Linked DNA regions of Lytechinus pictus. The protein of the gene in region 3 purifies or fractionates together with the protein of the main gene of each other region. This does not show direct contact. Links are inferred from orthologs where the notes say so. Each region holds a gene or a part of one and is shown on either strand. Other genes may lie near its edges. The genes, in order: U6 snRNA-associated Sm-like protein LSm2, U4/U6 small nuclear ribonucleoprotein Prp4-like, squamous cell carcinoma antigen recognized by T-cells 3-like and speckle targeted PIP5K1A-regulated poly(A) polymerase-like.

What was found.
Region 1: the proteins of squamous cell carcinoma antigen recognized by T-cells 3-like (region 3) and U6 snRNA-associated Sm-like protein LSm2 purify together in Homo sapiens (affinity purification with mass spectrometry; 3 studies listed by BioGRID and IntAct, counting the BioPlex papers as one, with this or other methods). This does not show direct contact. The link is inferred for Lytechinus pictus from reciprocal best matches to the Homo sapiens genes SART3 and LSM2.
Region 2: the proteins of squamous cell carcinoma antigen recognized by T-cells 3-like (region 3) and U4/U6 small nuclear ribonucleoprotein Prp4-like purify together in Homo sapiens (affinity purification with mass spectrometry; 5 studies listed by BioGRID and IntAct, counting the BioPlex papers as one, with this or other methods). This does not show direct contact. The link is inferred for Lytechinus pictus from reciprocal best matches to the Homo sapiens genes SART3 and PRPF4.
Region 4: the proteins of squamous cell carcinoma antigen recognized by T-cells 3-like (region 3) and speckle targeted PIP5K1A-regulated poly(A) polymerase-like purify together in Homo sapiens (co-immunoprecipitation; 4 studies listed by BioGRID and IntAct, counting the BioPlex papers as one, with this or other methods). This does not show direct contact. The link is inferred for Lytechinus pictus from reciprocal best matches to the Homo sapiens genes SART3 and TUT1.

Annotation. Positions count from the first base shown.
Region 1 is NC_087259.1:10,985,779-10,993,731, reverse strand, and holds the start of U6 snRNA-associated Sm-like protein LSm2, read right to left. Parts: upstream 3,382-7,953; coding exon 3,364-3,381; intron 1-3,363. UniProt on the Homo sapiens protein: Plays a role in pre-mRNA splicing as component of the U4/U6-U5 tri-snRNP complex that is involved in spliceosome assembly, and as component of the precatalytic spliceosome (spliceosome B complex).
Region 2 is NC_087259.1:20,211,633-20,219,015, reverse strand, and holds the start of U4/U6 small nuclear ribonucleoprotein Prp4-like, read right to left. Parts: upstream 3,317-7,383; 5' UTR 3,228-3,316; exon of another isoform or gene 3,173-3,227; intron 1-3,172. Other genes in the region: vesicle-trafficking protein SEC22b-like, read left to right, coding at 4,073-4,147. UniProt on the Homo sapiens protein: Plays a role in pre-mRNA splicing as component of the U4/U6-U5 tri-snRNP complex that is involved in spliceosome assembly, and as component of the precatalytic spliceosome (spliceosome B complex).
Region 3 is NC_087246.1:34,701,999-34,709,770, forward strand, and holds the start of squamous cell carcinoma antigen recognized by T-cells 3-like, read right to left. Parts: upstream 3,305-7,772; 5' UTR 3,281-3,304; coding exon 3,137-3,280; intron 2,031-3,136; coding exon 1,904-2,030; intron 1,076-1,903; coding exon 971-1,075; intron 1-970. UniProt on the Homo sapiens protein: U6 snRNP-binding protein that functions as a recycling factor of the splicing machinery. Promotes the initial reassembly of U4 and U6 snRNPs following their ejection from the spliceosome during its maturation.
Region 4 is NC_087247.1:65,568,347-65,576,090, forward strand, and holds the start of speckle targeted PIP5K1A-regulated poly(A) polymerase-like, read right to left. Parts: upstream 3,328-7,744; coding exon 3,258-3,327; intron 2,178-3,257; coding exon 1,987-2,177; intron 1-1,986. Other genes in the region: nuclear envelope integral membrane protein 1-like, read left to right, coding at 5,023-5,080. UniProt on the Homo sapiens protein: Poly(A) polymerase that creates the 3'-poly(A) tail of specific pre-mRNAs. Localizes to nuclear speckles together with PIP5K1A and mediates polyadenylation of a select set of mRNAs, such as HMOX1.

The DNA.
Region 1 (7,953 bases), on a different chromosome or scaffold from region 3:
TTTCTGTAAATAGTATTTTTTCCATTGCGGATTGCACACCCTTTTCTATGTTTGAATTATTATTGCAAAGCAAATTGCAGCAATTTTCATATTTTGCTTGTCTTCGGTAACTCATCATGCAATTGAGGTAACATGTTTATACTCTAAATTACTAAGTCTAAACACTCACATTTGTATTTCTTGCATTATATCTGACAAATAAAATAAATAAATTAGATTTTTCACACGCAGCCTCTCATATTTTCCTTTTTAGTCTCATACAATCAGACACTGTTGATTTTGTTTACACCATTCAAACCCTATTTTTACCTCAACAAATAACATATTAACGCATAATTTGCAAATTTATCATTATATATTTAGTATTCTATAAAAATACAGAATATTGAACTAATACAGGGCTCGACACTAGCGCCGGTCCGACGGTCCCAGACCGGTAAAAATCACTGTCGGACCAGTAGATTTTCAGAAATAGCAAGATTTACTGGTCCGACATGACCAGTAAAAAATATCATTGTCGGGCCAGTAATTTTTCCAAAAATAGCAAGATTTATGGGTCCGACATAAACAGTAATAAAAACTATTGTTGGGCCAGTAACTTTTTCAGAAATGGTCAAATTCCCTAGTCCAACTTAAATTGACTCAAATTGCGAACCATTTTCCTCCCGTTAAATTCTGGCATTCACACACAGAACACACACAGAATGAATCGCATGCAATTTTTGATAGGGTAACATACAGTGTACACGTGGCTAGCCAGCCACACAGCCCACATGGTAAATTTCCTACTGGCTGCACGAACGAAGCTTGGCTAACCTCTGGCAGATATCTCTCACAGAACTGTCAAAATTCACATTTCACACTAATGAAAAGCTCTTATAATGTCCATATTTCCTAAAAATTTGCCAAAATTGGGGTAACTCTGTCATTTGTAAGCAGTAAAAGGAGAAATTTTCACTTCTGTTTTAGTTCAAAGAGATCGGGTTTCGAGTGATATCGTCTGAATACATGATAGCCCCACATATGCATTTGTGTGTGTGTTGATCCACTTGGTTTCTTTCGTAGCTAGTACTAGTATATTTTAATTGAGCCAAAAAGAAACTGATAATTTATTTATGATGATAGTTTTAGCTTTCTTCCTTTGTTTTCTTTCAATCTTTCTTTCCTTCTTTCTTTTCAATCTTTCTTTGTTTCTTCCCTCTCTTCTTTTACTGTCTTTCTTTTTTAATTTTCCCTTTTTCTTTGTCTTTTGTTCTTTCTTTCTTTCTGTCCTGTTAATATTTTTCTCTATTTCTAATGCTCTTTCTTTTTCTTTCTTTTTTGATTTCCTTCTTTCTTTAATTCTTGAGTCCATCCATCCTATATTTATCTCTTCTTTCTTTCTTCATTTCCTTCCTTCTTTTCCCCTTTCTTTCCTTCATTCTTTGTTACTAACTTTCTTTCCTCATTCCATCCATCCTTTCTTTACCCTTTCTTGTTTTTATTCCTTCTTTCAGCCCTTTCTCTTTCATTCCTTCCTTTCTTCTTTGTCTTTTGTTCTTTCTTTTTCCCCTTTGTTCCATCTATCCTTTTACCTTTTCTTTCTTCCTTTTATTTACTGCTTGCTTCCTTTCCTTTCTTTCTTTGAAGTTTGGTCTTTCTTTTTTGTTCTTCCTTGCATTTATTCTTTTACTTTTTTTTTTTTTTTTTTATATATTGCTTGCTTGCTTCCTTCCTTCTTTATTCCTTCCCAACATTCCTTTTTCCTTCTATCATTTTCCCTTTTCTTGATTTCTTCCTTCTTTCAATCCTTTCTTTCTGTTTTCCTTCTTTCCATCTCTCCTTTTACCCTTTCTTTCTTTTTTTATTCCTTCTTTCCTTCTTTCTTTCATTACTTTGTCTTTTGTTCTTTCTTTCTATATTGCTTGCTTCATTTCTTTCCTTCTTTCCTTCATTCTTTTTTTCTTTTGTTCTTTCTTTCCTTCCTTTCCTTCTTTGGTTTTTTTTTCCTTCCTTCACATTTTTTCTTTACTTTTTTCTTCCTTCGTTTCTTTTATTCTTCCTTTTTTCCTTCTTTCCATCTCTCCTTTTACCCTTTCTTTCTTGTTTTATTGCTTCTTTCCTTCTTTCATTACTTTCTGTCTTTTATTTTTTCTTTCTTTATTGCTTGCATATTTCTTTCCTTCTTTTTTTTTTCTTTCTTTCTTTCTTTCTTTCCTTCCTTTTTTTCTTTCGTTCTTTCTTTATTTTTGTTCTTTCTTTCCTTCCTTTCCTTCTTTCTTTCTTTTTTTCCTTCCTTCACATCTATCCTTTCTTTACCTTTGCTTTTTTCTTCCTTCCTTCCTTTCTTTTATTCTTTCTTCCTTTCTTTCTTTTTGTCTTTCATTCATTCATTCCTTCATTTTTTTTTTTGGGGGGGGGGTAACAAGAAAGGACAGCAAAATAAACTCACGCCTTTTTTTAATGTTTTCTTTATTTTTTGGGACCAGTAGATTTTAGGTTCGGACCAGTAAAAAATTGAAAAACTGGGTATCTACTGGTCCGACATGAATAGGTTGGACCAGTAGAAAAAAAGGGTTAGTGTGGAGCCCTGACTAATAAAATGTCGAAATTACTTAGTTAAATCAATTTTTAGGTCGGACAAGGGTCTCTTTCATTGAAATATCAATGAAAGGTGTCTCTAAATGGACACCGTGTTCTAAATAAGGGAAATAATGATTTCGATTTTATCCAGTTAGTTATGTTTGTGAATCTTGAAAGTTTTTTCTCTTTTTACCTCATAAAGTAAGCTCCATACATCGATTCTACAATCAGTAATAACTAAAACATTATTTGATCTCCTTTTATTAAAATATATGATTTTATGAAAAGTCGCCATTCCGAAATAAAAGGTTCAGACAAAGTTCAAGTTCAGGTGACGATGAAGACTCCGATTCCGAATACTATCGATATCAAACGATGTCGCGGACTTGGAAGACAAAATTGCCTTCGTGAAACGGAAAGCGCTGATTTGTCTTCAATCTTCCTATCTCGGAAGAATGGTCCTAGGACGTTCCTACGTATCGCTCATCTCGTCGTCTCTAGCTGGACTCCTGGACCTGGTCCTGGATAGCCTGGAGGCGTCTGGGGAGTGAAAGACTTATACTGTACGTATGGTCACTCCCCTAACGCCTGGCACTGTGTCCTATACTATCCTACACACCGAGGGAAAATGCAACTATAGAAATGCGCCAAACTGCTAGTTATGTTTAGATTCTAGCTTTAAAACTTATGTACATGGGTAAAAATATTGGTTGGCAACGTTTGGCAAAAAATAAGTGTTCATGGATTTGAAATGACGAATAAATTAATATGAATAAGAAAAGTAGAAGAGAGTTCACTTACACTTGTTGACATCGCCATCTTTGATCCTTTTAATTGCAACCTAGTTACGTGACGCGTATAGAGGGCGGCAAAATCATGAGCGTTGCTAGATTAAAAAGTGCTAAAATGTCCCGCTTCAACCACTGAACTAGAAATACGTGGAAGCCGTGTACACCCAAGCAAAACATCGCTGGCGAACTCGATAAGTCACATGACCGCCGCCATTTTGCTAGGTCAATTGTTCGAGAACGCGCCGCGCCGTAGAAGGCAAAATGCAATATGTTTTCTCTATGTATTTCTAGTTCAGTGGTTGAAGCGGGACATTTTAGCACTTTTTAATCTAGCACCGCTCATGATTTTGCCGCCCTCTATACGCGTCACGTAACTAGGTTGCAATTAAAAGGATCAAAGATGGCGATGTCAACAAGTGTAAGTGAACTCTCTTCTACTTTTCTTATTCATATTAATTTATTCGTCATTTCAAATCCATCAACACTTATTTTTTGCCAAACGTTGCCAACCAATATTTTTACCCATGTATGGTAGTGTATCCTATTGCCGGACACCTTTATTTCAGTGCTTTAAAAATGACAACTAGAGAAAATACAATCAAGAAAAATTCGCACTTGCTATTCCAAATATAATGAAAATTATTTTATATTTACGAACCATTTTCTTTGCATCGCACTTGCCGCATACCCCTCCACGAAAAACTATTATTTTCGTGCGCGACAAATTACATCATGATTCCGGACGCGCTCCGGACGGGTAAAGATATCCTTGATTATAATGATGTGAGAATAAATTTCAGTGATTTATTTCTTCTTATATCATATCATGAATAAATTCTAACTTTTTGTTTGCTTTTTTTATATCGAATCTGAGCAGATGTTGGTAATAAATTCGTGTTTGATAACTTAATTTATTTTTTATTTTTTGGTTAGCTGCATGTTTCATGGCACTTTCCAGTGCTCGTTCGTATCGTGACGCTCATCAAGTTTTATCGATGCGCAGCCGATCGTCGACGGCTCTACTCACGGTAAACCTCGCGCACGGTACCTTGAGAACTAGCCGTCGACGATCACCCACAATACACCTCACCTGATCATCATTCGATCGAAGGAGCCGACGAGATTGAAATTAGGCAAATCAGGCCCATATTTCCGTTAGAAAATATATCAATTCATTCAATTGTTAATGCAAAACTATGTTATATGATATTTTAAGCATTTTCTGTCATTTTAGAGATAAATAAGGTAGAAATTTGATTTTTTTCGCCTTGTTTTTGCAATCTTGTTCTATGTATTGATCTGTGAAAATGAATTGCGGAAGTCTTACGGTTCGAAATTGTTTTCGAACGCATTTATATGCGCGTCCGGAATCACAATAGTGTCCGCCCAGGTAAAAAAACCAGTTGAAACCAGTTGAAATTTTAACTGGTTTCAACTGGAGTCAACTGGTACCAGTTGAAACCAATTGGCACAACTGGTAAACTCCCACCATGCCAGTATATTCCAGTTGAAACCCATTGTCCCAACTGGACATGCTGAAAACATACAAGTTTATTCCAGTTGAAACCAATTAACTATACTGGTATAAATTAGTACACCAGTTAATACCAGTTAAAACCAATAGGCCTTTCTGGTTTATCTACCAATAGATTCCAGTTTAAAACCCATTAGCCAAACTGGACCATTTGATGCCAGTTGGAACCCATAGAAACCCAATGGGTGTATATACCAGTTAATGCCACCTTAAACCCATAAACCATACTGGTATATCATTAAACCAATTGATACCAGTTAGAACCAACATGCATTACTGGTATACCTACCAGTTGATTCCAGTTAAAACCCATAAACCAAACTGGATCAGAGTGTTCCAGTTGGAACCCATAGACCTCCCATAACCCCACTTGAAACCCATTAACCATACTGGAATATCAAACCAATGGATACCAGTTAGAACCAATATAGGCATTACTGGCATATCTACCAGCTGATTCCAGTTAAAAGCCATAAACCATACTGAAGCAGATTATACCAGTTGGAACCCATAGACCTCCCATAACCCACTTGAAACCCATTAACCATACTGGAATTTCAAACCAATTGATACCAGTTAAACCAGCATACATTACTGGTATACTACCAGTTGATTCCAGTTAAAACCCATAAACCAAACTGGAACATATTTTACCAGTTGGAACCCATAGACCTCCCATAACCCACTTGAAACCCATTAACCATACTGGAATATCAAACCAATTGATACCAGTTAAAATCAACATACATTACTGGTATACTACCAGTTGATTCCAGTTAAAACCCATAAATCAATTAAACTGGGACATATTTTACCAGTTGGAACCCATAGACCTCCCATAACCCACTTGAAACCCATTTACCATACTGGAATATCAAACCAATAAATTGATACCAGTTAGAACCAATAGGCATTACCAGTATATATCTACCAGCTGATTTCAGTTAAAACCCATAAACCAAACTGGAACAGATTATACCAGTTGGAACCCATAGGCCACCCATAACCCACTTGAAACCCATTAACCATACTGGAATATCAAACCAAATGATACCAGTTAGAACCAATAGGACTTACCAGTTGATTCTAGTAAGAACCCGTATATACATATATAATATATACATATATATATATGTATATTAGAGGCATAGTGGTAATGCATTGTACTTATTTCCAACAGAGTTTATATATATATATATATATATATTATATAAGAACTATGTTTTCATACCTTTGTTGTTTTATTTGTCGCTTCTCTTAAACTGACTTTTGAAATATTTTTGTAATTGTTGATATCTGCAGTAATCATTCAAATTTCTTATCCGACAAGTCACTGGCTCAATATAGCTGTAACCCACTTTACATTAATATTTATATTTTTTGTACAGATCATATTACTTCAAAGTCCTCTTATCTTTGTTTTTAATTCCTTTTGAGATAATTCTTTATGATTATCATTCATGAATGTGTTTCCTATAACTATTATTATTGTTACCATCAACAAAGCGTTACTTTTCTAAAAAAAAAGCAAGTATTATTTCATACAATCCACTCTTTAATCTACATGTATTGTTATTCATTCAACATTGGTTAAATATATATTTATGTGAAAATGTTCATTATGTTAAAGGTATATAGTACATTTAGCCTACTCCCAACCTTTGCCCATTCCTGCTTTTGACATTACTCCCCCCCCCCCTCCCTGTATACTTTTCTTTTTGTATCCCCTTTCCAATATTATACATTAGTATACTTTGTTATTTTTTTGTTGCTTATTTGTTTACTGAAATTTTGCTCTGTACAAATTCATGTAATTCAGCCTTTTACCACAATAAATGCCATGCATTTATCCATCCTATACACAGCTCGATTGAGGATAAGAGGAAAAAAATATCTACATAATAACTAACTTAATTATTCTTTATGTTAATTTTAATATTTCCACCTTGAAAAGTTTCATTAAAGTATGTGGTTCGATATCACCATATAACTTAAATCGAAACATGTTATTCTCAGTGAAATTTTCTAGTTTACATTAAAAAAATTGTTATCCTAGATATTTGTTGCGAGAAAAAAATTTCTTCCTATTTAATCCCTTTTTTCTAATTTAAGTTAAAGAGGACTATTTTACACTATTTTTACAAATCACATAAAAATTAATGTATTTTTCTTTTTTTAACTCACTGATATTTTAAAAATATTTTTGAAGGTGAATAGAATAGCTATTTTTTTCTATTTATAACGCGCATATTTATTGCTAGTTTACAACCTTGCCATGTTAAGCAAGGCTATCTTTATCTTTCAAATAAAAAGAAAATAAATAAAATAGAAATAAAGAACAAATATTAAGCTAATTCATTCTTAAACTTTCAAAGAAAAAAAAAGCTCCATGCAAAAGCAGAGGCAAAATCGTCATTTCTTGACTGGTTGCCAACCAAAACCAAACAAGAAGAAATTTGTATGTTAAGAAGTTCGTATTTCTATTTTAAAACTTCTTTCTTGCTTTAGACCCCCCCCCCCCCTTCGTTATTCCTTCAATCACCGGGCGCGGGCGGGCCTGCGCATGCGCACTGAGTGCCACTGATCGCTATCGTCCGTATAATTATGCAAATTAACCAGCGCCGCCAGGCGCCAAACGCAAACCGCCAATCTAATTTGAATTTGAAAGAGCCATCTTCGCCGCGCCGTTAATTTGCACCGCACTTTTATCGAGTGCTAGTGCGATAAAGAAGGGTAAAGAAGGCCGTTTTAATAATAATTCAACCACTGAAATCACACGGACCAGATTTGGACAATGACTTGAAAGCTAAGACATTCGCAGTAGGCTCTACAGGTAAGTTAACAATTTTCTATGATTTTCTTTTCGTAGTTTGTTAAATGGCGCGGCTCGCAGCTAGCTGCGGGGCTAGCTGTAACGTTAGAGTTCGTCAGGACATCCTGTTACTGCCCCTCAGCGCTGCCTGCCGGCCGCGACTAGCCGGGCGTGGATGTGTGGCTGCCATGCCGGTGCAAGTCTGCGCACATACATCATATTGACCTTACGATTTGTGTTAAGATTTAACATGA
Region 2 (7,383 bases), on a different chromosome or scaffold from region 3:
TACTGGTTCCATATTAAAACACAAAACTACTGCCCTCGCTATTGTCATTTCCTTTACTACATCAATGGTCCTTTAAATCCCCCAAAAATGAACGAGAAAAATTAAAAGGGAAAGAAAGACAAAATAACGACGAGACCGACAATTAATTTTGAATCATCTGCTGAAACTCTAGTCTCTTCACCCCGAATTTTGCCATCCGCTGTTCCCATGCCGCCAAATTTGCTTTTATAGAAACGGACAGGTAAGGGCTGGAACCATGCCGCGATTTTACTGGTGTCTTCCCATCGATCTGTGGAGAAACTGGTAAGGAAAATTTTTTAGAACATTTGAATTACACAGCATGATGGAAATTACCGATTGATATAATAGTTTAAGTTCAGAGTATGGTTAAGTAAATAAAAATATGTAGACCTACTTTATCCCTATGCGTTGATTTAGGTATCCCATATACCTCAGACGCCCTCCTTTTTGACATCTTGTCTACCATCCAATACTGAGTTGTCAACCTGCTGTTTGATATACTGTTAGTAAAGATTTGATATCTGTTTGAAAAGTCATTGAAAGTATGAACTCAAAGAATTTAAAATTAATATTAGACGAAAGGAACATTTTATTAATTCTATAAATCACTTTAGGCCTAACTCGGGCAACTGAATTCCAATTGAATTCACAACAGTAACTGATAATTCTAACCGAATTCGTCAACATTGTCATCCACTTTCGATTGATGTTATTAGCAATGATGACAATATTAAAAGGCCCCTTGTTTTAAATTAAAACGACCAAAAAAATTAGCTGCAGACCTCTGATATGTGAGGGACAGGCAAAATTGAGGGGCAATTTTCCAGCCTTTGATCTAGCAATGACGTCTTTTAAAATAACACTCGTGGAAGAGCCTTTTTAATTTTTTTTTCTTGGGGGGTCCATCATCCCTGGAACCGGATGTATTATTCAAATTAATAATAATATTGAAAATAACTATGATAACATTAAAAAAATAACACAGTTTAACTATTGAGGCCAAAAAGGAAATCACTAAGAATTAATCTCAATCACGTTAAAGGCAATATCAAAATGAGCCCTGGTCAAATTCGCCAACTTCGTCACCATCGTCATTCACCCGCTCATATTGCATTTTCACAGGCAATAAACATCTTTGTTTTAAGATTTTTATTAATAAAAATAATTGTAGGTATATTCTTAACTTATTTAGGCCTAACGTAGGCATATCATTTGCCCTATCATTTGAGAAAGATGTAGACTTCAACTCAATCACGCAAAGGCAATCAAAATGAGCCTTGGTCAAATTTACCAACTTCGTCACCATCGTCATTCACCTGCTCAAATTGCATTTTCATAGGCAATAAACATCTTTGATTTAAGATTTTTATTCATGAAAAATAATTTTAGATATATTCTAAACTTATTTAGGCCTAACAGAACAAAAAATGGATTAAGAGAAGTGTTTCACTTGCGAGGAGCAACGTATCTGCACGCTCTTCCCTCCTTACAAACACACCGGCAAAACACTCAATGTTGCGCGACCGAATTCTGGTCGAGCGCCCTCTCACTATAGGGGCAATGTATAAGCCCTCGCTACTCATCAGTTTCACTGCTAGTTGCATATTCGCTGCGACTGGGTGAACACACAAGTCTTCCCCTTCACACTCGTACCAAATTCACTACACCTACACACGAAGTCATGACGTCACAAGAGTTTACATGAGGCTGCGTCCGCTTAACTCAATAGCTAAGAAACCCGGAAGTAAACAAAACCCCCCCGACGCGGTCAATTTTAAGGTTAGTTTTTGGCTGTGTGCTTGTCTTAATCGACATTTTTTTTGAGGTGGGCTGGAAGTGCTGGTTTCTTGCATGATATGCCAAAGTTTTCTGGCTCATGCATTATTTTTTTTTTTTCAACAGCTGTTGAAACAGCTGTCTGACCGAATTCTGGGAGGTGACCGAATACCGGGCGCGTTACCCTATTTTATTTATTGGTGCCCATAATTAGTAAATTAATCATAAGAATTGCGCATTCAAAGAATTTAGACACAGTTATAAAATTACCGAGGAGCTGAATCAAGGTTGTGAAATTTATTAGCGCCACCAACGGGCTTCCTTGTATTTCCGTAGAAGAGACAAACGAAGTCACTTGCTAGGCCGAGGTAAGCGAAATTTGCTCTTTTTAAATGAAATGAGTTAAATATCATATGTATAATTTTGTTATGTATTGCTACTTACCGGAAAGAGCCCCGGTGCGTAGCGAGAAGGAGTTTCGGCAAATATTACTTCAGCAATGAAGCAATGTTTGCCGACTAGTTCGAAATCTACGGTCAAACACGGTCCGGTGTACGAGGTTCGTATAATATATACGAACCTCGTATTAGTTAACCCAGAGAGCTCCCGCCCGCGCAGCGGGCGGGAGCCCAGAAGCTTACCGTGTATTTTACCATTGTCACCGGACTAGGGTGATTTATGGTCTAAATATTTCTCAAAATGAATTGTGAAAACAGAAAGTATACAATTACCACGATTATATGGATGAAGGTCTAACGAGTGGCAGTTTCCTGACATCTGGGCACAGACTGGAACCTCAAAAAAACGAAAAGTTCTCTCCTTCTACCCCCGTTTCGATCGGCCATTTTTGTTAAAAATTGTAACAAAATGGCCGATCGAGACTGGGGTAGAGGAGAGAACTTTTCGTTTATTTGAGGTTCCAGTCTGTGCCCAGATGTCAGGAAACTGCCACTCGTTAGACCTTCATCCATATAATCGTGGTAATTGATTGTATACTTTCTGTTTTCACAATTCATTTTGAGAAATATTTAGACCATAAATCACCCTAGTCCGGTGACAATGGTAAAATACACGGTAAGCTTCTGGGCTCCCGCCCGCTGCGCGGGCGGGAGCTCTCTGGGTTACGTATTAGTGTGAGTGATACCGCCCCGGCCCTGCCAGATCAGATGCATTCTGCCATTTTCACCTTCTTCAATTGAACTTTTTTACCACGCAATTTTAAATACGTGGGACATACATTACGCAATTCAGAGCTGAGTCAGGTACACCACACATCCACGGCAAGACTTATTATATACTTGACATTATTCAATTGATTGAATAAAAATGAAAATTTAACATAAAAAAACAGTGAAATATTCATTTTAATACGTACATTATCAATCAATAGGGGGGAAATACGTAATACGAAATATAAGAAAGCTCCTCACGTTCGAAGTTCGTCGGTCAAAGTAGTTGAAGATAGCCACTACAAAGTTGACTGTTCGTTTATTTTGCAATTAAAGAATTTCAACAATATGTTTGGGGTTCAAATATATTAAATAAATTCAATTCTTTTTAATTTGAAACTTAAAAGTCTAAAAATATTATTTTTAAACTATTTTTTTTGATAAAAATAAAAAAAATCATTGACCCGTATTTTATTTTTAATACTTGGAAATACGATTCTTAAATTGATATTTTATTCATTACCACTCTCTCTTACCTTTTTCCTCTTCGGATTTCATGGTCAATACCAGACGTCATAGTATTATAAAATTCAATAAAACTGCACGTTATAAGTGTTTTACTTCGTCTATGATTGTATTATTTATTTTTTAATTGAAGATCTTCCAAAATAGTTGCGTTCTCTAAATTAAATCTTTGAGAAATGCAATTTATGCATTCGAAATTGATAATTCATCTTCAAAGTTTCTGCTGTGCGTTTTGAGATAAGGCTAATTTTGTGGTACACGTATGAATCTCTTTTTAGATCCTATACCACCCTGGAATTTCGATTTCAATTGAATTTCAGGTATACCATTTGGTTATCTTGCTATATTCGACACATTTCTCAAGGTTTTAACGAAGCAGTAAGAGAAGAGCTATCCACGCTCATCGGGAATCGACGTGCTGAGAGCTTAGAAGATCTCTGTATAACCTAGTTCAGCATCACTAGCTCCACGTATTGATTTTGCTGTAGGCAAACCTGAGGAACAGTTGCACTTGCAGTTGTCTTGTTGACCAGTCCATCCATCCATTCCTTTCTCTTTTTCATCATAAACAATTTCTCAAGATGGTTTTGATGACGATGATAGCCCGTGTCGCTGACGGGCTGCCCTTAGCAGCCTCGATGCAGGAGGATGAACAAGTAAGTTTATCTAGAATACTCATTAGAGAAAGAAAACCAAACAAATTGCATAAGTAAAAAAAAATAATAATAAAAGTACCGGTAAGTCAAAACGAGCCAGTGCAGTGTCCGTCAGTCTCCCCCTCTTTTGTTTGTGTCTGTGTGTGTGTGAGGGGGGGGGGGTGTTAATGTTATTTTGAATATGCAAACTAGTCAGTTTTGACTATTTGTTGCCATGCCTTGTATAGGCACGGCCGTAGTCACTAGATGGCGCTGTCGCGGAAGTGCTCAAAATTTGTACGCAAGCTTCGTTCGCATGTCAATCATTGCAATCGCATAGCGATGCGATATCGTCAAAATTAAGCCCCTGTTAGCGCGGATGTGTATGATATTTTCTCTTTGTGATTGTCCTCCCGTGCGATGAAAAATATGTCATCGTATTGCACAGGACTTTCGCGAGCTACCGATACCATTTTCGTGCCCCAAATTCCATGAAATCTTCCGAAAATAAACATGAAAGTGTCGGTAAGTCGAAAATGTCTTGAGTTGCTTTCAATTCTTACCTTATTTAGTTGTATTTCTTGTAAAATGGGTCTCGAAGGGTTCCGGATTTTCCGTTGATTGTGAAACTTGAGTTGATTTCCTTTCTGTGTATTGCAGTGAAATTGCAGCGCGGGGAATCGCAAGGGCTGGGGAAGCCCTTCTCAGTGAGGTTTGCAAGCTGAGCTGTCCTTGAATTTGGTCGAATTTCGAGCCATTTTAATCGCGCGCGGGATGATAAATTTACATCATAATAGAGATTAAGATTACGTCACGTACGTGCGTACATGTGATACACACAGAAATGAAATTGAACTTGAATCACACGGAATCACAGTCAAGAAATGCTTTGTTTTCTTCGTTTGCTGAATGATTTCCTGAATTTAAAATCATGAATAAACACCAGAGTAATGACATGAATAAGATAATCATGGTCATATTTGAGAAATAACTAAATATTTTCTGAAAACGAGTGAAGATGATGGGGCAGTGATGTGCATGCACTGGAAAATGAACATTCACTGTCAGTGTCAGTGCCGTGGTGTCAGTGTTTTACTGCCAATACTGGCTTTACTTTTGCCAACTACCGGTAGATTAAAAACTCATTTATTGATATGTTTATTGCAATTTTTGAATAAATGGTAATACAAAGTGGGAAAAAAAAGATAAATGAAGATAAAAATAATTTTGACTAAAAACTTGTCATGCCATCACCCCCCCCTAAAAAAAAATACCCACTATCTTGAATGACTCAGGTAATTTAATTTGTATTGAAAAAAATAAACAATTGTATTTATGCATTTTATATTTCTGATTCTTTCTGCCAGAATACCAGATGCCATCATGAATAACCTCACCACCAGGTTGAACTCCTAAACATCTTGATGATGACTATCTCCCGAGATATATCTTGCCTTCTTGAGATTGGAAGTTTTAAGTTCAAGTCAGAGCGACCTAAGGCCCTACTACCAAGAAGAATCCAGATTTACATAAAAACAAATCCCACGAAAGATACAAACTGATTTTACTATTAATGTGTAGTGTGTGTGTGAGACACTGTTTGTGTTTATTTTGATGAGGATCTCCTGTCTCTTTTTATTATTTCATTGACTGAATGAATGATCAATACCTAAAAGTGAGAACTGATTTTTGAGGAGAGTAGATAAGTGTATGGTTTTGAGTGAATTTGAGTAACTTTTGTTTTTATTACCGGTATTTTTTTCATCATTATTATTATTTTGCCTTTTATTACATATTTTCAGTTTATTTAACATTAAGTTTAAGTAACCAAACTTGATCAAAGTGTTCAATTTTTGGGATAGAATTTTGTAATTTCATTTATCAGGTAATAAAACTGAGTTTGGTAAATCTAAAAAAGGACACTAAAAATATGAACACTTGGAGATGCTCACTAAGATGAGGAAAAAACATGAAAGGAACTGGAACTTAAGTGGATGTTATAGCATGCCTTTCGAAGATCTCCAAGCACCTGGAATCATAGGCGGTGGAAGTGGGGGGGGGGGGACGTATCCCACTAAATTTTAGGTGGGGAGGGGACGACCCCCCCCCCCTCAATTTTTTGTTGATAACCTTTTTTTTTTTTTTTTTTTTGGCTTGTCAATTTTCACTTTTGTTTCCTGTGTCCCCCCCCCCCTAAGATTTTTGGTCACTATTTTTTTTTTTTTTTTTGTCAAAAAGTTTTGGCGGTTCCCCCCTAAAATTTTTGGCTTCCGCCGCCAATGCCAGGAATGATGATGTTCAACTGAGAGTCGCTGAAGTGGAACTTGTTGCAGAGAATGATTATTCCAGGACAAGTTAGATGATATTACCCAGCCCATACATCACAACAATGGAAGGGAGACAATATACCCCTGTACTACGTGAAGTATCATATTATCTTCAGGTTGGTTTGGAAAGTAATAATAGTCCTCTAGTCAATATTAACGTCTGTCCAACATAATGGTACTATCGAGCAATTTGGGGGTTCAATCACAAACAGCAAAAGTTTAGTAAATTGACACTAGTAAGATAATTAAACAAATATAATACAGCCAAACTGTCTGACCCCTTACTTGACTACTGACTTAACTACTTATTAAAAAATGACAAGTGATGCTTAGGCCCTTTGTAACCATTGTATTGGGCAGACTTTGAAGCAGATGACTAGAATTCATACTTTCATGAAGATGAAGGAAGATCAAAAGAATTATTACAATTTAGCAAATATGAAATTAGAACACTGTCATGGTTATAAAAAATAATGAATTTCTATCAAGTAAAATGACAATACAATGTAAGAAATAATTGCAATCAAGTAATTTCATTTGCAAAAGATATTTTCCATAATTTAATAACCAAATTTCTCAAGATAATATTCTTCTGCACAGAAGTGTATGACACGCTCAGTGTAAATCATGCTGTTTACAAATCTCTAGGAAACCTTTTTTTTCAAAATGAAAATACATGTAAACTTAATAAAAACCAGGGGTGGATCCAGGATTTATCCTGGGGGGGGGGGCACATTTTCATGATGAAAATTTGTCAAGCAAAAAAAGGACCTTGCTTTCCGGGGGGGGGGGGGGCATACTTTGGTGAAAATGGCATATTTTCATTACAAATCTCGACTGAGGCTCTCTAAGGGGGGGGGGGGTGAGCCAGATGTGCCCTCCCCCAGATCCACCAGTGATAAAAATCAACATATGTGAAAGATGGCATAC
Region 3 (7,772 bases):
TATATCCCAAGTTTTATGAACTAGATCTATAAACTTTCAGAGTTAGGATGGTAATTCAACAAATACCCCCAACATGGCCAAAGTTCATTGACATTTAATGACCTTTGACCAAGGTCAGGTGACCTGAAACTCGCACAAGATATTCAGTGGTACTTGATTAACCTAATGTCCAAGTTTCATGAACTATATCCATAAATTTTCAAAGTTATGATGGTAATTCAACAAATACCCCCAACTTGGCCAAAGTTCATTGACCCTAAATGACCTTTGACCTTGGTCATGTGACCTGAAACTCAGGCAGGATGTTCACTCATACTTGATTAACCTTATGTCCAAGTTTCATGAACTAGATCCATAAATTTTTCAAAGTTATGATAGTAATTCAACAAATACCCCCAACTTGACCAGTTCATTGACCCTAAATGACCTTTGACCTTGGTCACATGACCTGAAACTCGAGCAGGATGTTCACTAATACTTGATTGACCTTATGCCCAAGTTTCATGAACTAGGTCCATATACTTTCTAAGTTATGATGTCATTTCAAAAACTTAACCTTCGGTTAAGATTTTGAAAATAATTCTCCCAACATGGTCTAAGTTCATTGACCCTAAATGACCTTTGACCTTGGTCATGTGACCTGAAACTCAGGCAGGATGTTCAGTAATACTTGATTAACCTGATGTCCAAGTTTCATGAACTAGGTCCATATACTTTCTAAGTTATGATGTCATTTCAAAAACTTAACCTTAGGTTAAGATTTGATGTTGACGCCGCCGCCGCCGCCGTCGTCGTCGGAAAAGCGGCGCCTATAGTCTCGCTCTGCTATGCAGGCGAGACAAAAATTTCAACCCCCCTCAAAAAAAAGAGAAACTGCCACAATAATCTGACTGGGGGGAGGGGGTGTTTTCTAAATTGCTTGACTTATTGGCAGTTTTGGGGTAGAGGGTCATGTAAAGCGTATACCAACCAAGATAGTCCTTCACAGCTCTGTCAAAGAGTTCCATGACCTTTTGTCTATCGTCACCACTCTCCATGAGCTTAAGCTCATCTTGAATCCACTGCATCCACAGTTCTAATGAAATTGAAAAAAAATGTAGATAAGAAAAGGTAGTTTTACCCACTGCTAAATGAAACTTGGTGGTCACTTTTCTGAATTGAGAAATCAATGGACTCATAAATAAAGTAAAGTCATGTCATTTCCCTATTTCATTTCCCATTTCACCATCTTTAGGTTAGATTGATTACTTTAATTCCATCTTCCTTAATTGTTACATCATATTTGTTAATACATAAATTATCATCATTCTTCATTATCATTAACTATATCTATTATCAGTGGCGGACCGTGACCCGGAGGAGTCAAAGCATTGGGGGGCACAGCATTGTTCACAAACAATACAGTGCCCCTCCAATGCTTTGTCTCCTCCGGGTCACAGTCCGCTACTGTCTATTATCATAATCAATTTTCATCATTATTCTACGTCTCATTTTTATTACCACCGCCATCATCATAATCATCATCACCACCAGCATCACCACCATTAAAATCAACATCACCAGCTTCATGTCATGAAAAAAATTGTTGAAACTATAGCTTTTAAGATTTACATGACTTCATGTCAATAAAACATACAAATATAAAAAAAAATAAAAATTACATTTGAAGACAAGAAATATAATGATCTATAGTATTGCTATGGATTTGTTTTTTTTTGTTTGTGAGTTTTTTTTTTTCATTTGGCAGTCCGTTTCACAGACATGGACTGTGGAAGCTGCAATAGAAGCTTTGATTTTGATCGGTTGCTTAGGCCCGTTACCATGGTGGTTACCACAATGGCATAGTTATCTTTGTCAGAGGTTCCTTATTTAAAACAGACCCTTGGTGGCGCAGTAATCTCACCTCCAGTCAGAGGGAATAGCTCACTCATATTCTGCCTTGCTTTTCTTAGCTTCTCCAGCTCTCCCGCTTGCCTCAGTATTGTGATCAATTTCAGATGTGCATCGTATTGATATGGGTTGCTGTTTACCTGGAATATCAAACAAATAAAGAAAATCATTCAAAACTGACCATTCACTGCAGAGGGGTGAAAATTTTGACAATTTTTCAATCAATCCAGAACACAGCTGCACAGCACATTTTTAAGTAATTTTTAACTTTTGCTTTAGCCGATGAAATCATTTAAATGCAAGCATGTCTGATTTTAGTTACAGAATGAATATAGAGCCTCTAAAATCAAACTAAATGAGTTCGTACAACACAGAGTATATCAAGTGTATTCACACCGTCTCAAAGTTTGGGAACTGCAGACTTGTTTTGATGGAATACTGTGTGGGGTACTGGGAGGCATGCTTACTGCGCATGCTTACTATATTTTCATTCATAAACTGGCTTGCGATAGTGGCTGGATGACGTCACGTAATAAGCAAAATGTATGTCGCCCGCTAAAGGCGCCGGTGCTAGCGATGAACACATTATTCCGTTTTGTAACTTGCCACCACTCTTTCAATGAACAAGGTTATGATAACCTTGTTCTCTGTTAGTATTCCTTGTGAGGTGAAATCAGGTTGGCAATGTTTGGCTCATTTTTTCTTGTTCTTGGGGACAAATGCTTGATTTTTTGACACTGTCAGTTTCTATTACAGCTATTCTTCATATAACTAGGCTCTTAAGTAAATTGAATTCTTTCAATCATTTTTCTAGATTGAAAATAGAGATTGAAAAATGAAAATTTTCTTGCAATTTTACTTTCCGCCAATAGAGGGCGTAAACAAAAATATGCCCAAAATTCAAGTTTTTGAGCGTTCTGGTGAATACAAAAATTATTCCCAAGTTACTAATGAAAAATGAATTGCAACTGTATGGAAATTAGTATTTTTGGTCACAAAAGTGATATTTTAATGATTTGTTTAAAGTGTGTGCTGTGTACAGCATTGGCATACCATATCCTACCTGTAGATTCCCCACAGGCAGGATGGTTGCAATGAACAAGTGGTGGTAGCATCCATCCGTCCCCAGGTCACGTCACATCAAAAGAAATATGTGGGACAATGCCAGGCATTATTGCCATAATCGCACTCAACACGTTCAGACACTTTTGTACTTTCCTCACTTTAATTCATAAAAATGATTTACCTCATCCAAGAGCTGAATAATCTCTTGGTCATCGGCATCCTCATCATCACTATCGTCACTCGAATCTTCGGAGGTAGCGCCTAGCTCTTTCTCTTCCCCCATTTCTACATTTTGCAATTCTGTAACATTCGCAAATTCCGCCATCTTGATTGTTGAAAACGCCCTCTGTAGAATAAAAATTACATAATGTGGTCCTGGGAATCCAGCCTTTGTTCATATTTTTAAGACGTTGTTTTAGAAAGGAAAGAAATTAATGAAAAAAGCGGATTGGTGAAAGTTTAAAAGAAATCAGACAAGCAATAAGAAAGTTATGGCTATTTGAAGAGATTCCCTAGACTATGTAGATTTCAAATGGGCAACTGGGCAAGTAAATTATGACCGAGGCAAGTTAATATTAGGGCCATAAGGACAACTTTTCAGGCAACTTTTCCATAGGCCCAGTCAGGGGACGGTGGATCCAGGGGGGGGGGGGCAAAAAAAAAGGTTTTCACCCCAAATTGGGGGTCATTTCGTCCGAGTAAAATTGACAAGCAAAAAATAAATGTTTTCACACAAAATTTGAGGTCATTTCGTCCAAGTAAAAGCTAGCAAGCAAAATAAAAGCTAGCTGAGGGCCTCACTCGTGTATGAACCACATATAATGTATGCAGTTACTTTCAAAGGGGGACACACTTGTTTATTATGCATATTTACATTGCAAATTTTGATTATGGTTCTCAATAGGGGGACACAGACCTGATGTGCCCCCCCCCCCCCCCCGCAGTGGACCCATGCAGTCACGGTATATTATCAGGGATTTATGGTTTTCAGCGAAGTGCCCATTCCCCGGCATGGGGCAGTAATCTAAATGTAACCCAGGTAGTACATTACTTTATGTCCTCATGAAAGAAAAATATAAGTTGCACTAAAACTTTTCAAAAAAATTGACATTTTATGTATTGGATTTGCCTGGAGTAGTCCTTGTTTTATCACTATGACAACTAATTTGAAGTCTCCATGGGTATAGTGATAACTCTTTAAAAACAGCATAACTTTAATGTTTGTCGATATTGTTCAAACTATATCACCTTTCAACTTGTTTCATTTTTCTTTTCCCTTTAAAACCAAGTTTTTGTTTGGGTTGAATTCCCCGATTTAAGTTTAGCATGTGGACGATCGAGCGGGGGATCGAGCCCGGCATAGTGGAACCCTGTCCTCGAGAGGCCCTCTCTTTTATAATAAAAACACCCCCCCCCCCCCCATTTCTTTTCGTTAAATCTTCTTTCTTTTTCTTATCTTTAAACATCCTTTAATTATTTTTTTTTCTTTTGCTTCTCTTTCTCTATCTTTCCTGTTCCTTTCTTTATACTCCTAATTCTTTTCCTTCTCTCGAGTTTTCATCCCTTTCCCCTTCCTTCTTTAACCCCCTTTTTTTCATTTCTTCTCTCTCCTTTCCCATTCCCCTTCTTCATTTACTTTTTTTTAATTGATCTCGATGGCCGCGGTCTGCGGGCTCGAATCGATGGCCCAAATGTGCACATGCTATAAACTTAAAGGACAAGTCCGGCCATCGAGAAGTAGGAAGGGAAAGAAATGATCGGAGAGGGTGAAAAGGGGAAGGGGAAAGGAGAGAGAAGAGACGAAGAAAGGGGGGTCGGTAAAATAAGGAAGGGAAAAAGATAACAGCTGAAGGAAGAGGGAAAGAAAGAAAGAAAGAAAGGAACAGGAAAGATAGAGAAAGAGATGCAAACGAAGTGAAATTTAGAGAAAGAGAATAAATTAATAAAGATAATATAAAGAAAAAGAAAGAATTAACAAAAAGAGAAAAGGGGATTTTTTTTTATTTTCATAAAAGATAGCCTCTCGAGGACAGGGTTTGCTGAGTATGTCGGGACTGAGGGAAGGAAAAGGGGAAAATGAAGAGGGGAAGAAAGACTACCGAAACCCTGCATCCCCTCCACCATGAAGTAGCGAGGGGGGGGGGTTACATTAATAGACACTGAGCCTATGAAGGAAGATGGAATGAAACGAAGGGAGATAAAAAAGAAAAGGATGGAAATAAAGATAGAAAAGAAATTAGATGAATATGTTTAATTCGAGAGGCATCGTATAACGTGATTACGAAAAGTGCTCAAAAAATGTCCCGTCTTGCGGCCTCAGAAGTCAAACGCCAAAACGGGATTTTGTTCCAACGTATCATTCATCTCGTCACAGGCCCCATATCACTATACCCATCCCATACAGATCAGCCCCCCCCCCCCACACACACATACTTTTGGGATCAAGCCACCGATTTTTATATTACCTGTTTAAATAAAAATCAGTTAATATAAAAATCAATTTATTTGATAACTTATGCTATTTATATCAAAATAAAATATATTTTGCCTCTTGAATATATAACACTATTACTCGATAATGGAATGGCTGAAAATTCAAGGATTTGATCTGTTTGTAGATAAATTCGCCAAGGAATCATGGACAATGGAAGAGGGGTTTGCCAAAATGTAGAGATTTCACCCAAATCTCCCTCATTTGGGAGCACACCCCCTCCCCCCTTTATTTTTTGCTTGTCAATTATGTGTTTTGGCCACTATCACACCTTCATTTTAGAGGAAAAAACATTTCGTTTTTGCTTAACAAAACAGCGCCCTCTCTTTGAAAATCATTCCTGGATCAGAAGAATATCAGTTATGAAATTTACGTTTTTGACTGTGACATCTAGATGAGTAGCTCTAATACATTCCTCTAACCCCCCCCCCCCCCTCCCCACATAAACACACACTTTTCTACAATTTATGGAAGTTCAGTTCGCTTTCAACTGACATGTACAAAAACATTAAGAGTACTATCTGATTGCAATTTTTTCACATGGTCAGCCCCCCCCCCCCACCCCCACTTTCAAAATGGTTAAACACTCACAAAAGGCACACTCCCTGGGACTCATCTGGGATTGTAATTTTTTGAGAAAAAAATAAGGAAAACCCACTAAGCTCCCTTTCTTTCAAAGATACATGGCCATTCTATAATCATTGCCTGTTTCTCAAATTTCTGCCTTTATTTCAAATGAAATGATATTAGGTTGGTCTTCTTTTTTTGTACAAATTCACCTCAATGCATACTCATTCATTCTTTTTTCTGTCAACACAAAAACATACAAAATAACTCCAGAACTAAGAATTTGACGAATCAAGATTTATCATAGCATGGCAGCTCAATTTATAAATGTCTTACATAATATATATATACATTATACATGCATATACAGTGCAATAAATAAAAGAAATGTGTCAATATAACAAAGCAAAATGGGTACAAATCAAATTATAGTTTCACATAATTGCAGCATGTAAGTTTGTACAGAATAAGTATCTTGTGAAATTATTTTTGACAGCTCTCATCAGACTACTTAAAATAAATCTCTGTATGCTTCGCACGAGTATGAGTCATTAAAGACACTTAATTTACTGTGTATTTATGCCACTTTTTAACATCATTTACCTGACATGAGGACAATGATGCTAGCTTGAAATGAAAACAGGCCCTGGGTGCCAGTAAAAATAGTATTACTACTACTACTACTACTCCTAATAGTATTCCGCTTTTATACATGTATAGCACTTAATACATCGGAATAAGACCTCAAAGCGCTTTACAGATATATATATACCAGGGTCATCCTGGTACAAATATTTTCTCCATCTTTTCGTTCATTGCATACATTTCTGAACTAAACTATGACATATTTTACATAAGTTTTGAAGACCCAAAATGCTGTGATTAGGGGAAGGGTGGGTCAGTTGTACCACTTTTTATTCAAAGTCACCAAGAGCTTGTACCTAGTAAAATTGAAGAATAATAGCTATCATATATTATGATAATGTTTCTAAGATTAGAATATTATCTCAATGAAAACAATGTCTTTGAAAAAAGTAATTTTGCACAACTAAGCCTCTTGATGGGGTCAGTTGTACAAGGATGTTACATGGGTTGAGCCATATATCCATAATACAAGAAAAAATGTTATCAACATTGTCAACAACAAAAAACATTATCAACAATATTTTTAATTAACACTATTTTATTTTAATAAAAACCTTGACCTGACCCAAAGTGAAATTGAAATATCATTTACCAATTGAAAGCTTATAAACTACAAAACACAGCCATGCAAAGATTTATGAATTTTCACCAGTTTTCGCTAGTTGAGTATTTTGCATGAGAGTAGCTCCAATTATCAGGCTTTGAAAATAAGTTTTATAGTGGTCTTCACCGTCCTGAAGTCTGTGATGTCATTCCGTGTCAGAAGCAACATGATTCCATACAGGTTGGGTGATTTTTTTTTTTGCTTTGCTTTCCAGAATCCAGATTACACATTTGATTTTCTTTACTTCTATCAAAACATAAATCATTAATAGCTTTTCCTAATCCTTAAATTGATGAAATCTACAGCTTTGGACTTTTTTGCCTTGTTTTATTTCCTGCTCATTTGGCACTTCTTTTCATTTCTATCTTCATTCAGATTACATGTAACAGTTTCTCCTGACATAACTTTGGCCAAAGAGAGCCAAATAAAGAAATCACAAAAACCTAATCAAGAGCTCCAGGTCTCTATCCATTTGGCTACAGAATGATTATCAGTGCCAGTTTCCTCTGT
Region 4 (7,744 bases), on a different chromosome or scaffold from region 3:
CACTCGTGCAATGAGCATGTTAATGCACAAGTTTTCTAAAATTATCAATTGATAATTATCAATTGAAATGCGAAAAGATTGAAAAAAGTTTCATGGATGATGATCCGATAACTGCATGGAAAACCCTACAAAATGTAACTAACTACAAAACAAAAACAGGGGTACCCCTATCAACTGTGTGTCAATCTTTCGTAGATAATCTAAATGAATTCTATTGCAGATTCGATAAAAAAAGATGGATGAATGCGATAGCAATAGAATTGTTTGGACGGAACATGACGTAAGAGTGTTGTTAGGTCATGTAAAGGTCAGCAAGTCACCCAGTCCAGATTGTATCCCGAATAAAGTTTTGAAAACATGTTAAGACCAGCTCGCTGGTATTTTCAGACAACTTTTTCAAATCGCCCTCGATTGTGGAGCTATTCCGGAACTTTGGAAAACATCATCCATAGTTCCTATTACAAAAGTCAAGAACCTGGTTGATATGAATGATTATAGACCGATTGCGTTAACATGCAGTATTATGAAATGTTTCGAGAAACTGATGTTAAAATATCTGTTAAAACAAACAGATGCTCACTTAGATCCATTACAATTTGCTTACAGATCAAACAGGGGAGTAGAAGATGCAGTTTTACTGCACTTACACAAAACATTGTCTCATTTAGATAAGACTAAAACGTATGTGAGATCGACATTTATCAATTTTTCAAGTGCATTTAACACTTTGGTTCCACATCTGCTAATTCAGAAACTAGATGAATATAATGTTTATCCACAATTATCACTTCTGTACCTTGGTACCACAATCACGTATACTCTTGACTGGACTGTAAACACAATCTCAATTCAAAAGAAGGCAAATCAAAGACTCTTTTTCATTCGCCAACTCAAAAAGCTCCATTTGGATAGGTCGATTTTGTCCCTGTTTTACAAGTCTATTATTCAGTCAGTTGTAATGTAATTTGCTTCTATAGCAACCTTACTAAATCGAACAAAGAAAGCTTGAACGTCCACGGAAAATTGCTCAGAAAATAATCGGTCTTGAATTACCCCCAATTGAAACTCTGTACAACGAGAGATTACTGGCTAAAGTTGAGGCTATCTTAAAAGATCCATCTCACCCTCTACACTGCTATTATAACTTCAATAGGTCTGGTGTACGCCTCTGTGTCTCCCGTACTAACAGAGTACGTTTTAGGCAGTCATTCGTCCCCAATTCTCAACATGTGTTTAATAGAACAGTTATCAGATAGAATGGGGAATTGCACTTAGCTTACTATGAAAAGGTACTTAACCCCGCCCCTTTTTAATACTCCTTCACCTTTAATTTACCTTCCTCGCAATACTCGTTCCACCCCCCCCCCCCTCCGTATTCGGGCTGGAGATGGAACCACAAACCAATTAATACTTGAATAATTAATTAATTCATATATCTGCAATTGTACTTATTCTATTTTATTTGAAATAACGTATACAGCATTTTGTATGTGTATGCAATCCCACGGTATTGTAAGTCTATTCATTCTGTGTATGTGCATATGTATTTGTAATTTTGTAAACCCGATGTGAAAGGAATTTCCTACACAGGACAATAAATACATTCAATTCAATTCAATTATGGTATCTGCAATCACTGCACAAAGCAACTTTTCCACTTAATCAAATGTGGATCTCAGCAAAACTATACCTGTTACTAGGTTGCAATGGGCATAAATCTTGTTAAATATGCCTGTTGCCCTTGGTTTATTGTTTTACAGACTTGGTCAAATACATGACCTAACTTTAGACCAATCAGAGGGCTGGATTATTCAACATTCTTTAATAACTTTAGATAATTTTTTTCATTCTAACTATTGCCCATTGTCATGTGTATTATTTCAGTTATCATTGATGAGAATGATCGATCAAAAATGCCAGCATTTTGTGGTATAAAGATTGGTAGACTGAAGAAAGCATAAAGTTTCACCATGGTATTAATCTCACCTTATCCTTGTCTACAATGACCTGAGCAACAGGGCCAAATTTGGAGAAGTAATCTGTGAGCTCTAATTCAGAGACGAGCTTGGTAAGTCCCCCAACAAATATACTACATTCTGCTTGCTTTTGTCTTGAAGCCTGGATTGCAATCAGACGTTGATGTTTCTTTCCTTGAAGATGATCCTCAACAGCTTTACCTGCAATCAGAAAATATAATGCTAAGGATGTAAACCTGAGAGAAAGTCTACCCTAGCTTCTCTGAAGCTTTTCAGCCCTTTTAAATGAATCCAGAATATTCATTTGCTTGGCTCTTGGCCTTTGCTCTGCCATGTTGACAACAGCCTAATATTAGACAGATTGAGGGAACGACTACAAGAATCAAGAAATAGCTTCAATGTTGTTTGAAAATTTATGAATTCTTGGACTTGTTGTTAGTACATTTAGAAAATCGTAGCAACCACATGTACATGTAGCAAGAATGTTGAACAGTATGTTTGTAGTTTGAGCATCCATTCTATCTTTAAGGGACCCATGCAATATAAAGTTCAATTCTTAACCCGGTCATTACAACATAGCTTGACACTTTCACTGGATGGCTTGAATGGGGCAAATAACATGTCATGTTGGACAAGTAAAAATAAAAAGTAAACAGTAATATTTACAGGTACCAGTAGGCATACTTGCCAAATGGGGCAACAAAGTTTTGATCATAAAATGTCAAAAATGAATTGAACAAGACCCCTGGATCCGTGCCTGGTTAAACCAAAAAGGGCAATGGACAAATTAATGTAAATTTGACTGTCTACAATTGACTTAAAAAAAAAAACCTGACACACCCTTTCAACAAAAGGTTGTATTCCAGGAAACTATACGCTACCCAGTACCCAATGCACCCTTTCCGCAAAACCGGGGGGGGGGGGGGGGGTGCTTTGGATTAAAGGGTGTGTTAAAATTTTTTGAAACCTTCATACACATTAGGCATATGAAGGTGTAAAAATAAATAAAATTACTAACATTTACGTGATTTCTATCTTCAAAGATAGGGAAATCCATCTTTGTTTACGTGTGTCTCTTATACATATATGGGAGGTGGTTCAAGGCTCCATGATGAAGAAGTATATGTCAAAATATTAAAAAAATATCATCATGGAGTCCTCAAGGCTAAGTCTTCTGTCTGTGTAGGAGGGCTGAAAAATAAGCCCTTTTCACATTAGGCCTAGTTAGAAGTACTGAGTGTACCTGGGCCCCGTCTTACCCCATACCATGTTCCAACTTACCCCGTATATGGGGTAAGTTGGAACGCTTGCGATGTTCTTGTTCAAGGTGGATTTTTTCAGTAACCGTCATGGAGTTAAAGATTTTATGGGGTACATTTGAAGCCCTTAGTCTTAGGTATATGCTTTAAGCTGATATATTGTTTCTCAAATAAATTCTATTTGGAATTTACAGCAATTTTTGTCAAAAATGTTCCAACCCAATCTCCCCTAATACAATACGTGACTATCTACACTGTTGGACCACATTAACTTTAACAAGTAACGTTAGATCCATTCTAGGGCCTAACGTTTTATTTTTAACAACAGAGTCTACCAATTTTTTATTGAAAATATTGACAAAAGATAAACAATTGTCGGTTAAATTTTTTTGGGCAGTATAGTACACGGCCAATATAGGAAACTCTCTCCAATTATAATATGAGTAAAAATCTCCCATATTCAGGGGATGGAGACTTGCTTTGCAAAAGAACAAAAGAAACAACACCAACAAAAGCATATTTTTTCCTACCAAAATTTGTCAGAGGTCAGAAGCCCATTTGTTTTGTGTGTGATTGTGAATAACAAAAATAACCAACAGGCAACAAAAGCATATTTTTTTCTACCCGAAATTTGTCCAACTCCGAGGTCAGAAGCCCATTTGTTTTGTGTGTGAATTACAAAAATCCTTATCGAAACAAAAGTAGACGGTGAAAAGGGGTAATTTTTCATGAAGAATCTGCTTAGGCCTATCACATTTTTATTTGCCGCCAAGCTAATCCTTTTGCAGCAAATGTTAACAAACTAAGGAAATTGGTCTCCCAAACTCAAACTCAGTCAAAGTCAACTGTCTCTGAAATAGGATACCCAAATTCTTTACAAAAGTCTCTGTTTATCACCAGAAGATCCTGCGTCCACAACTGAAGTTAATCTTAAGCAAGGCTTATGTTACGTTTGACCCGGAGACCTCGACACTGTGTTCAGGCTGCCGCAGTAATGTAATTGTAACCTTATCTCTCTCATTAGTATACTATTAGTATTACTCATTAAGTCATTATTGGGTCTGGGCCACTCACACAACATGCGAGGTTAGTGGGTCTGGGCTGGGATACAGTCTCCCATATTGGCCGTGCGCCTCTGGAATGACCCGTAAGCCTTCAAAGATTTTAACAATTTAATTCACATTTTTTGTGTAATCAAAAGACAAAAAAAAGGCTTCAAATGAAAGTTCAATTCAAACTGAAGTGTCACGTGTTCGGACGCCCCACGTCCATTCCAACCCTCATCTTGTTCATGACCGGAATTAACATCGCACATCATTATCATGCGCCATCATCGCAAAGCAAAAATTGTCGACCACAACGTACCGGTACCGTACGGTAAGTGTTTTAAATTGTTATGTATGTGAATGAACAAAGAAGGATATTCAACGCATTTTTAGACCTCTAATACCTGACATGATTTTCACATTGCAGATGTCACAATGGAAAGATTTCCCTTTTGATGATATCGTATCGTGCTCCATGATGCCCGTTTCAGATTCAAAACATCCGCCGGCGGAGTATAGGTAGCTATACAAGTACCATAGCAAAGGTTGGCTTCTCATCATATTTATGTAGTACACTTGCGTGGTTAATGTATGTGCTTGATCAATGTGTTACAAATCTTTTGTGGCAGGGCCTTCGTCTTGTGCAATCGATTCAGGAGTTAGCTACTGAATACCGTACCGGTACTGTCGGTTCATATTTCACTTTCAGGATCTTCACTTTTCTGGTTGGCGGATCATGACATGGAACTCATATATGTATTTAGTTTGTCTGTTCTGCTTCATGGCAGTTTATTGCACGGTAAATATCCCTTGCATGTTTAAATTGACTTCGATGTTACTGTTTTTTATCCAGGGAAGTGCGAGTTGGTCAGCGATTTTGTTTTTCACTCAGCTTGTCTGTTGAAAGTTGAATGAATGGGAATGATTTTGGCGGGCATAAACCGGTCGAAACACCGGTAATCGGTATGAACTATGATGGGGGGACCTAACCCAGGGAGCTCAGGTGGGTGTTTCATAAAGCTGTTCGTAAGTTAAGAGCGACATTAAGAACGACTGGTGATCCTTTCTTGTGGCGAATGGTATTCATTAGCGATGGTTTTGCGCGTAAGAAAGGATCACCAGTTGTTCTTAAGTTAAAGTCGCTCTTAACTTACGAACAGCTTTATGAAACAGCCACCTGGCCCGTTCAGGACTCGTCCGTGTAATACTGGGCAGACATATGCTCTACAAAATGGGGTACACGTAGAATGGGGTCGCAATAGCACTCCAAATAATAGGGGAAAAAATAAATCGTGCACCTATGGTCGTGACTCGTATTGCCGGACACACTGGCCCGTATTCTCAAGTCGGGTTTAACTTAGACCACGGTCTAACTCTGTGCTAAAATTATGGGAAGCCAAAAGAGTCAAAATTTTCATTAAAGGGATGGCCGGGCTGAGAGTATTTATAGCTTAATAAGTAGAGTAGAATTCACTGAGCAAAATGCCGAAAATTTCATCAAAATCGGATAACAAATAACAAAGTTATTGAATTTTAAAGTTTAGGCTTTAGCAATATTTTGTGAAAACAGTCGTCATGAATATTCATTAGGTGGACTGATGATGTCACATCCCCACTTGTTTTGTATTTTATTATATGAAATTAGGTTTATTCAAATTTTTTCCTCCAAGAACTAGAAAAATTGGATTGACAACTGATTTAGTGCATTAGATATTTATTGCTGCAACTTATTTCATTATATGAGAGACATTATTCACACTAGTATGAAATAAAGAAAAAATGTGATTTCATGTAATAACATAAGAAAACGGAAAGTGGGGATGTGACATCATCAGCCCACCTAATGAATATTCATGACGACTGTTTTCACAATATATTGCTAAACTTTAAACTTCAATAACTTTATTATTTGTTATCCGATTTTGATGAAATTTTCGGCATTTTGCTCAGTGAACTCTACTCTATGTATCAAGATAAAAATATTTTCAGCCCGGACCATCCCTTTAAGTTGTATGTTTCTGATGTTTACTGTGCTCTTTTCTGATTCATTGATGGTGAAGACAATCATCTATTTATACTCCCTAGACAATTATGAATGATTTGAAAGGCAAATGAGCTGAAATATGATATCTCTACTGTTAGTGATTTATAATGTAACAACTGGCTATCCATACTTAAGCCACAACTTTAAACCTGAGTTTAAGTTAAACCCGACTTCAGAATACAGGCCCTTAAATTTATTTCAGTGCTTTAAAAAGGGCATATAGAGACGATGAATTCAAGAAAAAATTGCACTAGCTTAGCTATTGATTCTAAATATGAAGAGCTCACTTGCAAAAGGAGTTAGGTCCATTTTTCATCAAATTTGATTTTTATGTCTTGATGTATAGATTTTTAGTAGCTCTATAAGATGATACCAAAGAAAAGTTGAAATTCCTATTAAAAAGTGAACTAAAATGGCAAAGAAAAGTCACGTTTTTTTCAAAAGGGGTTAGGTCCACAGAATTTTTTTGGAAAAGAATATCTTAAAAAATATGAAGACTGGTAGATTTCTCTTATTTTATGTTCTCATGGTAGGGTAATAGGGTATCATGAAAATTTAGTTTCGCTTACGAATATTGCAATATGGGAGAATTAAAAAAATGATTTTCTTGGAGTGGACCTAACCCCTTTCGCAACTAAACTCTTTTGAAGAACTCATAAATTCGTCAAAAGGGGTTAGGTCCATTTTTCATAAATTTTATTGTTTTTTGTTTCTAAACCTCTAAATTTTTAGTCACTCTGAGTCTCTGATGATATGAAAGACAATTTGAGATTCAAATGAAAACGTGAATGAAAAGGGCAAAGAAAAATCACTTTTTTAATCAAAAGAGATTGGATTCATTTTAGTTTAGTTGCAAGAGGGATTAGGTCCACAATGATAATTTTTCAAAAAAATTGAAGACAGGTAGATTTCTTTTATACCCAATTTTATGTTCACATGATGGGGTAGTACATCATGACAATTCAGTTTCTCATAAGAATATTGCAATAAGTGAGAATAAAAAACATGGTTTTTCTCGGAATGGTCCAAAGTGGACCTAACCCCTTTTGCAACTAAACTCTTCATATATGAAAATTATGAATATGGCAAAATTCTGGCCGCACTTGCCACATACCCCTCCACGAAAAAACAATGATTTTCATGCGTTAAAAATAACATGATTCCGGACACGCGCCCTCTTATCTCTATGGGATGCAACATTATATCAAACATGCTGACGAGATGCGTCGGGTGACGAGATGGGTGACAATATTCTTGTTTAATGATTTAAAAGGGAATTGGTGAGATTTTTTCTTCATATAGCATATAAGATGCAAATTTTCAGAATTTTTCTAGTTTTTTGTCTCGCCTGCATAGCAGAGCGAGACTATAGGCGCCGCTTTTCCGACGGCGGCGGCGGCGGCGTCAACATCAAATCTT